Linked DNA regions of Coturnix japonica. The main gene of each other region encodes a partner of the protein of the gene in region 2 in a complex. Links are inferred from orthologs where the notes say so. Each region holds a gene or a part of one and is shown on either strand. Other genes may lie near its edges. The genes, in order: GRM4, GNAI3 and RGS10.

What was found.
Region 1: the proteins of GNAI3 (region 2) and GRM4 are in contact, whole or in part, in a cryo-EM structure (PDB 8JD6), measured with the Homo sapiens proteins. The link is inferred for Coturnix japonica from reciprocal best matches to the Homo sapiens genes GNAI3 and GRM4. Residues at the interface, in NP_006487.1 of Homo sapiens: Ala31, Lys32, Val34, Lys192, Asp193, Leu194, Thr219, Phe336, Thr340, Ile343, Ile344, Asn347, Leu348, Cys351, Gly352, Leu353, Tyr354; in NP_000832.1 of Homo sapiens: Pro616, Lys619, Ala620, Gly622, Arg623, Glu624, Arg676, Ile677, Ile680, Phe681, Gln683, Gly684, Lys685, Arg686, Ser687, Val688, Ser689, Ala690, Ile694, Ser695, Pro696, Phe781.
Region 3: the proteins of GNAI3 (region 2) and RGS10 are in contact, whole or in part, in a crystal structure (PDB 2IHB), measured with the Homo sapiens proteins. The link is inferred for Coturnix japonica from reciprocal best matches to the Homo sapiens genes GNAI3 and RGS10. Residues at the interface, in NP_006487.1 of Homo sapiens: Val71, Val72, Ser75, Glu115, Val179, Lys180, Thr181, Thr182, Gly183, Ile184, Val185, Gln204, Ser206, Glu207, Lys209, Lys210, His213, Ala235, Glu236; in NP_001005339.1 of Homo sapiens: Glu62, Phe63, Ser64, Glu66, Asn67, Ala102, Ser103, Ser104, Gln105, Val106, Asn107, Val108, Glu109, Gly110, Leu137, Lys139, Tyr140, Asp141, Ser142, Arg145.

What each region holds. Positions count from the first base shown.
Region 1 is NC_029541.1:4,300,937-4,304,579, forward strand, and holds part of GRM4 (metabotropic glutamate receptor 4), read left to right. Parts: coding exon 1-40; intron 41-822; coding exon 823-959; intron 960-1,479; coding exon 1,480-2,415; intron 2,416-3,643.
Region 2 is NC_029541.1:1,611,754-1,615,496, reverse strand, and holds the start of GNAI3 (guanine nucleotide-binding protein G(i) subunit alpha), read right to left. Parts: upstream 2,787-3,743; 5' UTR 2,651-2,786; coding exon 2,533-2,650; intron 2,058-2,532; coding exon 2,015-2,057; intron 1,940-2,014; coding exon 1,798-1,939; intron 1,383-1,797; coding exon 1,225-1,382; intron 1-1,224. Other genes in the region: GPR61 (G-protein coupled receptor 61), read right to left, coding at 3,493-3,743. UniProt on the Homo sapiens protein: Heterotrimeric guanine nucleotide-binding proteins (G proteins) function as transducers downstream of G protein-coupled receptors (GPCRs) in numerous signaling cascades.
Region 3 is NC_029521.1:26,956,378-26,960,120, forward strand, and holds the start of RGS10 (regulator of G-protein signaling 10), read right to left. Parts: upstream 2,241-3,743; 5' UTR 2,237-2,240; coding exon 2,107-2,236; intron 1-2,106. UniProt on the Homo sapiens protein: Regulates G protein-coupled receptor signaling cascades, including signaling downstream of the muscarinic acetylcholine receptor CHRM2.

The DNA.
Region 1 (3,643 bases), about 2.7 Mb from region 2:
GTGGAGCTGCTCAAGTACATCCGCAACGTCAACTTCTCAGGTCTGGGGCTCTGGGGAGCCCGTCCTGCTTGCTGGGTGTCCCCTGTCATAGGTGACACAGCACCCATAACTGGCTGCCTTGCATTGCTGCTGGCAGAGGTCCCACCGCATCACGCTGCTGTGCCCTTGTCTGTCCTCAGATCTCTGGAAACGCATCTTTTCCTCTGCTCCTCCTCTTTAATAAACATTTTCTGTCTTGTCCTCCTGATTGTTTCTATTTATCTCCTCTCTGTGATCTCCTCTGCAATGTCTCCTATTTATTTCTCCCTCTTGCTTGGTTTTTCTCTTCCCTCCCTTTACTGGTGTTATCAATTGACTTAACATTAAATCTATTTCTCAGTTTTTCTTAAAAGAAGTGCTAAAATGGCCATCATAACAGCACTCCTTGCCTGGCACTACCAATAAATTCCAGCTCTTGGTGGGTCTGCTGGGCTGATCTGTGGCTCCCCATGTGGTCCTTGCATCAGCTCAGGCTCAGGAATGATTTCCTTTCTTTCTTTTCTCCCCTTTCGTTCCTCCTTTTCTTTCCTTTCATCCCCACTTCTCTCTCTTCCTCTTCTTTTCCCTCTTCTCTCTTTTCTTCCCTCTTTTATCCTCCTTTTCTCCTCCCTTTTCTCCTATTTTCCTTTTTTCCTTCATTCCTTTTTTTTTTCCCTAAGCACCCACCCTGAGCCCCAGCTGGCACTGACCACGTGGGGTGGAACACCAAACCCTTGGATGCCATCACTCATGGCACCCTGTGCTGTGGGGAGCTCTGGGTGCTGAGCAGTCCCTCTCCTGTAGGCATTGCTGGGACTCCAGTGACCTTCAATGAGAACGGAGACGCACCAGGACGTTACGACATCTATCAATACCAGATCAGGAACTCCACTCCTGAGTACAAAGTCATTGGGCAATGGACCGACCACCTCCACCTGAAGGTAAGGCAGGGGATCATCATGCAGCAGCTGAGGCTCAAGGGGTGTGTGGATGCAAAGTGTCTTGAGCCAGACACGTCAGCAGGTGTCTGGCTCAAGCATCAGCTAGAGCACCTCTTAAATGAAGAAAGGTCAAGGGAGCATGGAATAGGGGAGGCTCTGGGGAGACCTTATTGTGGCTTTCCAGTCCTAAAGGGAGCCTATGAACAAGACGTAGATCAACTTTTCAGGTTGTCTGATAGCGATAGGACAAGTGGGAATGGTTTTAAACGAAAAGAAGATGATTCAGGTTAGATGTTAGGAGGAAGTTCTTTACTCAGAAGGTGGTTTGACCCTGGCACAGGGTGAGCTGTGGTTCCCTATCCCTGGAGATGCCTGAGGCAATGGATGGGGCAGACTGTTCTGTTGAGGGGCGATAAGCCCATAGCAGGGGTTGGGACTGGATGGGCTTTAAGGACCCTTCCAACCCAACCATTCTATGATGTGACATGATCAGTTGTCCTGATGCCATCTCGCCCCACAGGTGGAGAACATGCTGTGGCCAGGGGGTGGGAGCCAACTCCCCAGCTCCATCTGCAGCCTGCCCTGCAAGCCAGGTGAGAGAAAGAAGCTGGTGAAGGGGATCCCCTGCTGCTGGCACTGCGAGCGCTGCGACGGATACCAGTACCAACTGGATGAGTTCCACTGCAAGCGGTGCCACTTCAACGAGCGGCCCAACGAGAACCGCACCAGCTGCCCCCCCATCCCCATTATCAAGTTGGAGTGGAGCTCCCCATGGGCTGTGGTTCCCGTCTTCATTGCCATCGTGGGCATCATCGCCACCCTCTTCGTGGTGGTCACCTTCGTGCGCTACAACGATACGCCCATCGTCAAGGCCTCGGGGAGGGAGCTCAGCTATGTCCTGCTGACGGGCATCTTCCTCTGCTACGCCACCACCTTCCTCATGATCGCCGAGCCTGATCTGAGCACCTGCTCCTTGCGACGCATCTTCCTTGGGCTCGGCATGAGCATCAGCTACGCTGCGCTGCTCACCAAAACCAACCGCATCTACCGCATCTTCGAGCAGGGCAAGAAGTCGGTGAGTGCCCCGCGGTTCATCAGCCCCGCTTCCCAGCTGGTCATCACCTTCAGCCTCATCTCGCTGCAGCTCGTGGGCGTCTGCATCTGGTTCATCGTGGACCCGTCCCACTCTGTCATTGACTACGAGGACCAGCGGACTACAAACCCCCACTTTGCCCGGGGCATCCTCAAATGTGACATTTCGGACCTCTCCCTCATCTGTTTGCTTGGGTACAGCATGCTTCTCATGGTCACCTGCACTGTGTATGCTATTAAGACCCGTGGGGTCCCAGAGACCTTTAACGAAGCCAAACCCATCGGGTTCACCATGTACACTACTTGCATTGTGTGGTTAGCCTTCATCCCTATATTTTTTGGGACGTCGCAGTCAGCAGAGAAGGTAAGGTGGTGGTGGACCTGTGGGCTGCCAGGAAGGGGCTGAGCAAGGAGGGATGCTTTCTTACGAACCATAGGATATGTTGAGTTGAAAGGGACCCATCAGGATGTGGTTTTGTTGGCTTGGATATCGTGGTAGTGGTAGGAAGTGTTGATTTGAAGCCTCTTGCTCCACTGGGAGCCTCGTCTTATTACCCCTCACCCCTTTTTCTGCATGCTGTAGTCCCCCATTGCCCCTGTATGAACAAGGCTGATGGGGACTGTCTGCTGCTGGGTGGGGAGGATGGGCCCATGGGGCAGCTGTGGGCTGGGGGGCAGACCCAGACCCTGGTGTCATTAGCACCAAGGAAAAATAACCCTGAGCACTACCTGTCCTTCCTCCTGTGCCAAATCAGTGCTCTCTGAAATCCCCCAGAGCTGGGAGCAGCTGGAGGTGAGGGCAGGGAGGAGCAGAACCCTCAGCACTGCAGCGGGGCACACGGCACCTTGCGCCTTCTCGCTCCATTACCACCTTGCTGCGATTTTAATTAACACCCATTTGTTTGGCAACAAGATGCTGACGGCAGATTCCTCAGCGTGGCTGCGAATCACACAAGCTGTGATGGGACGTGTGGCCCTGCTGGAGCTCTGAGTGCCTCTTTGCAGCACTGTGCATGGGGACAGGATGGGTGATGTGAGCACTGGGTCTGCTGCAACCCCCCTCCCCATCCACCTGCCTCCCTCCCTGTGCTGGGGGCAGAGCGTGAGCTACCAGCCTGGATGAAACCCGTGCTCAAGTGAAAACAAAGGGAAAAAATCTCATGAATGAGGAAAAAAAATCCCCTTTGCTTGCCAGACAGAATGGGAATCGCGTTTGTGTTACACACCAGCAGCTCACGCCTGCCAGCCCTGCGACAAATAAACCTCGCTGCTGCTATTCCCTACAAATCCCTGGCATCAACATCCCCAGGGTGACTGCCACTTGGATTCCCCTTCTGGATCCATCACAATTAGGGTAATTATCCCGAGTGTGTCCCCATTGATGCCGAGCTGCTGAAGCAGTGCCTTTTGGAAGCACCTATTGCAGGAGGGCTGGGGTTGGCTTGCTTTTGCTGTGGCCTTTGCATGTGTCCTGAAGTGCTGGCTCTGCTCAGAGCACCTGAGTTTGCACTCACACCTTAAGCTTTGCCTCAGCTAGAAAATCCCTTAGCAAGCCATCCCGCTCTGGCTAAAGGAGTGAAGGAGAATTAAAG
Region 2 (3,743 bases):
CTCCTGCTGCCCACCACCACATCCAGGTTCGCTGGATACAATAAAAGCCGCTGCACCCCACACTGCCTGCAGCCCTTCTGCAGCCTCCTCCACCACCAGGCTTCCTCTGTACGCTGAGGTTGCAACACTGCTTCCCCACCTCGCACCCTCATGTTTACAGAGCCAGCTACTTCCCATGCTCTGACGCCATCTGGTAAACACAAGCTTGCAAGAAGGGTGGATTCGGTTCACTTGTTTTCTTTTCTTTACGCCCTGAAATGAGGCTCTGGGAACAGAGCACTGACTGAAAGCCCACAGCACGACTTGTGTCTGCCCTGCTGCTGCTCTGAGCCTCCCCAGCTCCTGGCTCAGTAGCTGTGGGGATCCACGGCTCCGTCCCCATTGGCATCACCCCATCCATCTCACTGCAGCACTGCTCTGCAGCGTGTGCTTCCAACCCTGAGACCTCAGCCCTGCAGGGGAGCAGGAGATAAAGCACCCTTAGGAGTACCATGTACCCACAGCATCACCCACACTATCACCACAGGAAGGGCTGCAGTGTGTCAGTGAGGAAGCTGAGGCTGTAACAGCAGAGATGAAGCGCTCAGGGCTGCGTGCTGGGCAGCAGCTCAGCTGACTGCTCGCTCTGTGCATTAGCAAGGCCGGGTGCTGCAGCAGCAGCCAGCTCCTCACTGCACTCTGCAGCATTTCCTAACAGCCCTGTCTTTCTATTCAATCTGTTCTCTCATTTTCAGCTCTTTCCTCTCCCTTTGAACCTGAAGCTGCTTTCCTGCAAGCATCTCAGAAACGCTCCCCCTGCCAGCTCACCTCCCTTGATCTAAACTCAACATCCTCTGCTGAGCTGTTACAGTTTCAGAAGCGCTCTTGCTTATTGTCGAGCTGCATTGTGCTCTGTGCAGACAGAGCCTGCAGGGAGCCGAGCTGTGACTCATCTCAAGGTTCTTATAAAGCATTTCCAAACTCATTTCTCAGAGGCTTCAAACTTGGCCAGACCACGCAGAGCCACCAGGAAGCACAACCGACCCCACAGCCACCCTTCCTCCTGGGTTTACAAAGCAATGAACACGCAGCTTTCCCCACACAGAAGCAACAGCTGTTTGATAGGGACAGGAACCAAAGGAGCAGCTGCCCTCCTCACATTGGTTATCACAGCACTCACAGCCAAGCAGAGGGCAGCTCCTGCCTGCCCACCCCACCACCAGAAGGGCCCAAGGGGTCTCTTACTACGAGGCAGAGTCGTTCAGCTGGTACTCCCTGGATCTGCTGAAGCAGGCCTGCACTCCAGCATCCCTCCACAGCCTCTTGATCACTCCAGCCAGCTCGGCCGTCATCACCCCTTCCTCTGCACTTCCAGCCAACACAAACAGCTGGCGGGCATCGTCCTGCAGGGACAGGAGGGGGGGTTAAGAAAGGAAATCAAGTTTACAAGCTTAAGGATCACTGCAATAGCTGAGAGGTGAGGGAGCCTCATTTCCTAATGGAGCATTTCATCACGAGGCAGCACATAGAGGGATCAGGATGCTGCTGTGAGCCTCAGTGTGACAGCCCACACCTCCATAGGCTCGCAAGCAATGTGTAGATATGGCAAACAGAGCACAGGGACCAGCCAAAGCTGCTCAATGCTCTGCTTCTATAACACGAGGTGGCTCAGGGACACCTCAGGTTTGTGGTTAATGTTGAGCACTTACATTGCAGACAATGAGGGGTCTCCTGTCAATGCAGACACAGCCCCAATCTCCAGCTCTCATTAACACCATTCAAAGCACAAACACAGAGGGAGATCAATGAAGTACTTACAGCTCTGGCCACCTCTCCAAAGTCAATCTTTAGCCTTCCCATGGCTCTTATGATAGCAATGATGGACTGGATCGTATTGCTGTACACCACCACTTTATACTGCTTGCATTCCTCCTCCGAGTAACCATCCTCATGGATAATCCTAAAGAAAACCGAGCTGTCATTGCTAAACCAAACCAGACCGGCAGCTCAGCGGCACTTCAACCCCTTCACTTACTTCATCTGCTTCACTATGGTGCTCTTCCCAGACTCCCCAGCACCTAAAAAGGATAAATACAGAAGGAAGACCATCACGATTGAGTCAGCAGGAGGCCTGGCTTGCTTTAAAACACCCCCCACAGGGCAGCACTCCCATGGTGGCCACACCGCACCATACGGTGCGGTGCGGCCACCGTGGGAGCGCTGCCCTGGGGGTTCTGATAGGCCCAAAGCCCACAGGCCCATTGGTTCCAATAGGCCCAAAGCCCACAGGCCCATTGGTTCCAATAGGCCCAAACCCCACAGGCCCATTGGTTCCGATAGGCCCAATGCACTTAGACAGATCCCAAGCGCATCCCCACCCCCGCGGCCTACTAGGCCCAGCCCAGCCCCTGCGGCCTACTAGGCCCAATCCAAAGCCTGCGGCCTACTAGGCCCAAATCAGAGCCTGCGGCCTACTAGGCCCAATCTAAAGCCTGCGGCCTACTAGGCCCAGTTCAGCCCCGCGGCCTACTAGGCCCGGTTTAGGCCTCTCACCCAGCAGTAGTAGTTTCACCTCCTTGGCCGCCTTCTCGCCGTCTTCCCGTAGGTTCCGATCGATCATTTTACTCCTTTCTACCGCCGCTTTATCCTCGGCGCTTAATGTACAGCCCATAACGGCGGCTGGGCGGAGGCCGCCGGGCCTTCAAATGGAACGGAACGAAAAGGGACGGAGCGGAACCGAACCGCGCCTCTCCCTCAGCCGGGGCGGCTCCCACAGGCGGAACCGGATATCCGCCCAGAGCGACCGTTAGCCGCAAAGCACGCCGGGAAGCACCGTCCGACAGGGCATTTCCGCCTCGGTAAAGTGGTGCATGATGGGAGCTGAGAGGGCGGAACTTCCGGTGTTGTGTGGATGTATTATGGGAGTTGTAGTCTTGAGATGATTGCGGGGCCTACACAGCCCCCAACCCAACACATAGCCCCCCAACCCAATGCTGAGCCTCCAACCCAATGCTGAGCCCCCCAACCCAATTCTGAGCCCCCAACCCAATGCTGAGCCCCCAACCCAGTGCTGAGCCCCCAAACCGATGCTGAGCCCCCCAACCCAATGCTGTTCCCCTATCCCAATGCTGTGACCCTAACCTGATGCTGAGCCCCCAACCCACTGCTAAGCCCCCAACCCAATGCTGTGACCCCAACTCGATGCTGAGCCCCCCAACCCAATGCTGTGCCCGCAACCCAATGCTGTGCCCCCAACCCAATGCTGAGCCCCCCAACTCAATGCTGTGCCCCCAACCCAATGCTGTGCCCCCCAACCCAATGCTGAGCCCTCAACCCACTGCTAAGCCCCCAACCCGATGCTGAGCCCCCAACCCCACCGTGGAGCCCACACATTGGGTCCCCCACCCCTCCACCCCCTCCCCACGTCCCGCCCCACATCCACACACCCACACCACTCTTCCCTTCCATCCTTGTTTAACACCCGCAGCCGCACACGCTACAGCCCCGCTCTGCTCACGGTGCCCCCCCCGTCCGCTCCGTCCCTTCGGCCGCTTCATCCCCGATCTGTCCCGGGATGCGAAAATCGACGGGCGCCGGTTCCCGTTTGGGGCTGGGGGTGCCCAGAGGCGGCGGGGGCAGCTCTTGGGGGCAGCCGGTGCCCTGTAGGAACTGCAGGAAGTTCTCCTCGATGGAGCCCTCCCGGCTGGGCAGACGCAGGTCCTCCTCGGGGGGCTGCTTGAAGAAGCAGGTGAGGAGCCGGCCCA
Region 3 (3,743 bases), on a different chromosome or scaffold from region 2:
AGCTCCATCCCAGGGATACAAAGTACATCACATTCAAGGCTGGCGATGCCAAAAAGCTGTTTGCTGGCTACGCATCAGAAGACCAATTACTTGGGAAGAGTCCAGGAATTCTACTGCTGATCTGAAGAACTCTAAGATACACACAAAGAGCTCGGCCTTCTCTCCCCTTACACTCAGTGTCTGCTGAAGGCAGCAGAAGCGCAGGCCACGAATCAGGCACTATTCAGGGTCCCTACGCATTGAACAGACACATAAAGCTCCCCCAGTAACCAGTACAGCTGCCATTTGTTTTCATAACCCCTTTATTTCTCCCTCCTGGCTTACTGGAAATAAAGATCTTACTTACTTCCGCTTATGTTCTCTTCCTCCACCCCGAATCAAAACCTCAGCAAGTATCTCCAAGAGCCATCTTTGCAGTGCTATACTATCAGATACCCTTTTCAGCTGGTAGCTGTGTTTAAAACCCTACAAAATACCAGCAGTGCAGCACAGAGAGCTGGACAATCTCCTCCCAACAGTGAGAAGGACTGTTTGCAGCGAAGGAAAACCTCCCATTTCTATTGATAGGATTCCAGATGACAGCTTTCCTCTGGCTGCTCTCCCTCTGTTCTCATCTGACCAAGGCAACTCTATTTCCCTCCAACCACCAACAATTTCACCCCCAGCACATACAGCACAACCTGGAGGTTTTATTACACCCCATCAAATGGAGCCCTAATACAGCAGCACAGCCCAATTGGGATCGTTACTCCATGGATGAGTTTCATTTACAAATGTAATGCCTAATTTCTATTATTACTTAGAGGCAGGTTTTCCCCACAGTAACCCTCATGTTCTTAAGACTAAATTCCCTTAAATACCTCCTCTGAAGGGCAGTTATACAGATAACCTTCAGTTACCATCACCTGCTGATAATCTGCCCTGCACAGCAGCCAGCGGCCGTACCAGCACAGCAGGCGATAAAGTGCTTCTCTTAACCTCCTCTCTTTAAGCAGCAGCCCATGCTGAGCCAGCCAACGGGCACTGAGCTGCACAGCTGCACCGGGGGAGAATCTGCCAGCAGCTTTACCCTGTCACACAACAATATTGCCACACTGAGCTGCGGATAAAGGCTCATTGTAAGGGGCAGATGTAGCGCCAAGCGCAGTGCCAACAACACTGCAACGGGCAGCTGGAACACAGCATCCCAAACGGCCAACAGCTGCACCCAGCAAACGCAGGCATTGAAAATACACAACGAGCAGAATTCACAGCTCTGGCACTCAGCAACCAAACACGTGCAAACCCAACCTGATGGAGATTGATAGAGATACAGCAGATGGAGCTGGGCACTGCCCTGCATAAGGACCGTGCGCTGTGACAGCTCCCACCTGCAGCTGCAATGGGCGCCGTGCGGGGCTCACAGCAGCTCATACGGCAGCAAGAGAAGGTTTCGAGGTGTTGAATAGTCTCATAGAACTGTACGCACCACACGTGCTCCTCCCCGTCCGCCTGGATGCTTCACAAAGCTGCGAATTTCGTTGTTAATTACAATCTCCCAGCACCGCGTCTCGTCCTGCGGTCAGGGCAGCACTAGGAGCTGCAGCCGGCAGCCTGGAGTTAATAACGCCGGGTTATGAAACGGGAAAGCCCGCGGCAGAGCCGAGCTGCTCCGAGCCGGACGGGTCCTACAGCACGGCACGGCGAGGCCCAACGTCCTCTTTCTGCCGCCGGATTCTACTTATAACTCTAAGGCAGGAAGCTGGGGGGACGTTCTGCTCCTGGAGCATCTCTGTGCTCGCTCTCCTGTCGCGTTCGGCTTTTCTTAGCGACACGGCGGCGTCGTTCCCCGGCGGGATCTTCCCTTGGTGGCTTCCACCCCCGCAGCTCGGCGGCTCACAGCCCGCCCTGCTCACGGGCTCGCAGCGTTCTACAGGCGGAGCATCCGGAGCCGTGGCGCTCCCTCACCGGGCTCCGACAGAACCATGAGCCCGTTCCCTCCCTCCCGTTCCTCACAGCACCCACCGGCGGGAAGCTCCGGCCCCGCCCGCCCTCCCTCTCTTTCCGCCTGTCAGTGCCGGTTCGGATCAGCCCCGCGCGGCTCCTCGCGCTCTCCCCGCTCATTACCTGACGGCGGCCGCTTCCTGCTGAGCCGGCTCACAGCCCGGTTGAACATCTCTCGTGGCGGCCGGGCGGCCCCGCGCTGCACGGAGCTCAGGGGGCGGCCCCGCCTGCCCCGCCCCGACCGCCGCCTCATGACGGAGCCGCCTCCCGCCTCCCGCGCTGAGGGCCCGGAGCGGGTCACCACACAGCTCCACCTCAGCGCATCAAACGCGGCTGTGCCAGCACGGGATGCACAATTTAAGTACGTTTAAATCAATGAAAACATGCCGTGTGATTATAGTTTACGTTCAGCTTTTATTTCTGCTTTCAACACCACGTTCACATAGGAAAGTTCACTTAAAACTGAACGTAAAAGCTCTTAAGCGTCTTCAAGCCCCTATCTCAGCTACGACACAATTAGACTGCAGTAAAGGTGTATTTCTGATGTAAACACTGGAGAACCAGGCCCACACAGTGAAAACAAGCACATCCTTCTTGTGAGGGAAGCAGCATAGAACAGGCCTGAAGTGAAGACAGTGGAAAATGCTTCAGACATGGCCACATGAATCAGGAGCAAAAAGGGGAATTTGTTTATCCAGCATCACTCATCTCCACCTTGGAAAAATGCCCTGATTCACTGCCCTGTTGGTGCTGCTTTTTAAAATATAATTAGGGCTGATAGCGGGGAGGGATAAAGACACTGAGATGTGGTGAGTTTTATCCAGTCCAAACCTGGAGACTGAAGGGAAGAAAAAAAACAAAGGAGAATTAACACATTTTTAAAATCACTCTGCAAATATCAGAACAAGTATAGGAATAAGAAACCAAAAGACTCACAACAGGGGGGACCACCATCATCTTGCACAGATATAAGGGACATTGAAAGGGATTACCTGCTACGAACCAGGTGGCAGCACAGCACGGAAGGTGAGCACATCTCTGTCCACTAGAAGCACATCTAATTAAAAACACAGCAAAGACTGAGCATGAAAATGAGACACACAGCTTTAGCAGTAACTGAATCACAGCTCACAGCTTAAGCACAACTTAAGGACGGTGGTGGATGCATATTCACGTATGTACAGGTCAGCTTTATACTCCACAGAACACAAGTTTTGCACTTAAAGCCAATAGTCACGCTCTAATGCTTCCAGCAGGGCTGCACAACAGTGATCCCTTGTGGTAGCTGTGGCATATAGTAGCTCTAAGAGGCCAATTCTTTCTTCCAGACCTAGAACACGAAGCATCCTCGTGCTTCCAGGTTCAAGTAACACTCAAATAGAAAAGGTTCTTTAGAGGCACCCTGCAAACCTGAAAGGTCATTTCAATAACTAAGTAGTTAGTCCCCACCCTGTCATGACCCAAATCCAAACTGGAAGACTTGAATGAAGCAATAAGTTGTCTCAGCTGCTCTTTCTCATCACGTTCAATGATCCATCATTAAAGGACATAACTCATTTGTGGAATGAAGTATCTCCCTCATTGAATGGGCAATGCAAAGAGCATTCATCATGGAACAGTACCTCTACCTGCCTGCTTACTGGGGTCAAAGATCCAGCTCCTCAAATAGAGGATGGCAGCTTCTCATTATAAGCCACGATATTTCAACTGCAAGTTGGCTCTCGTAAGTCAACTTTCATCTCAGAAATGTAAGCATTATT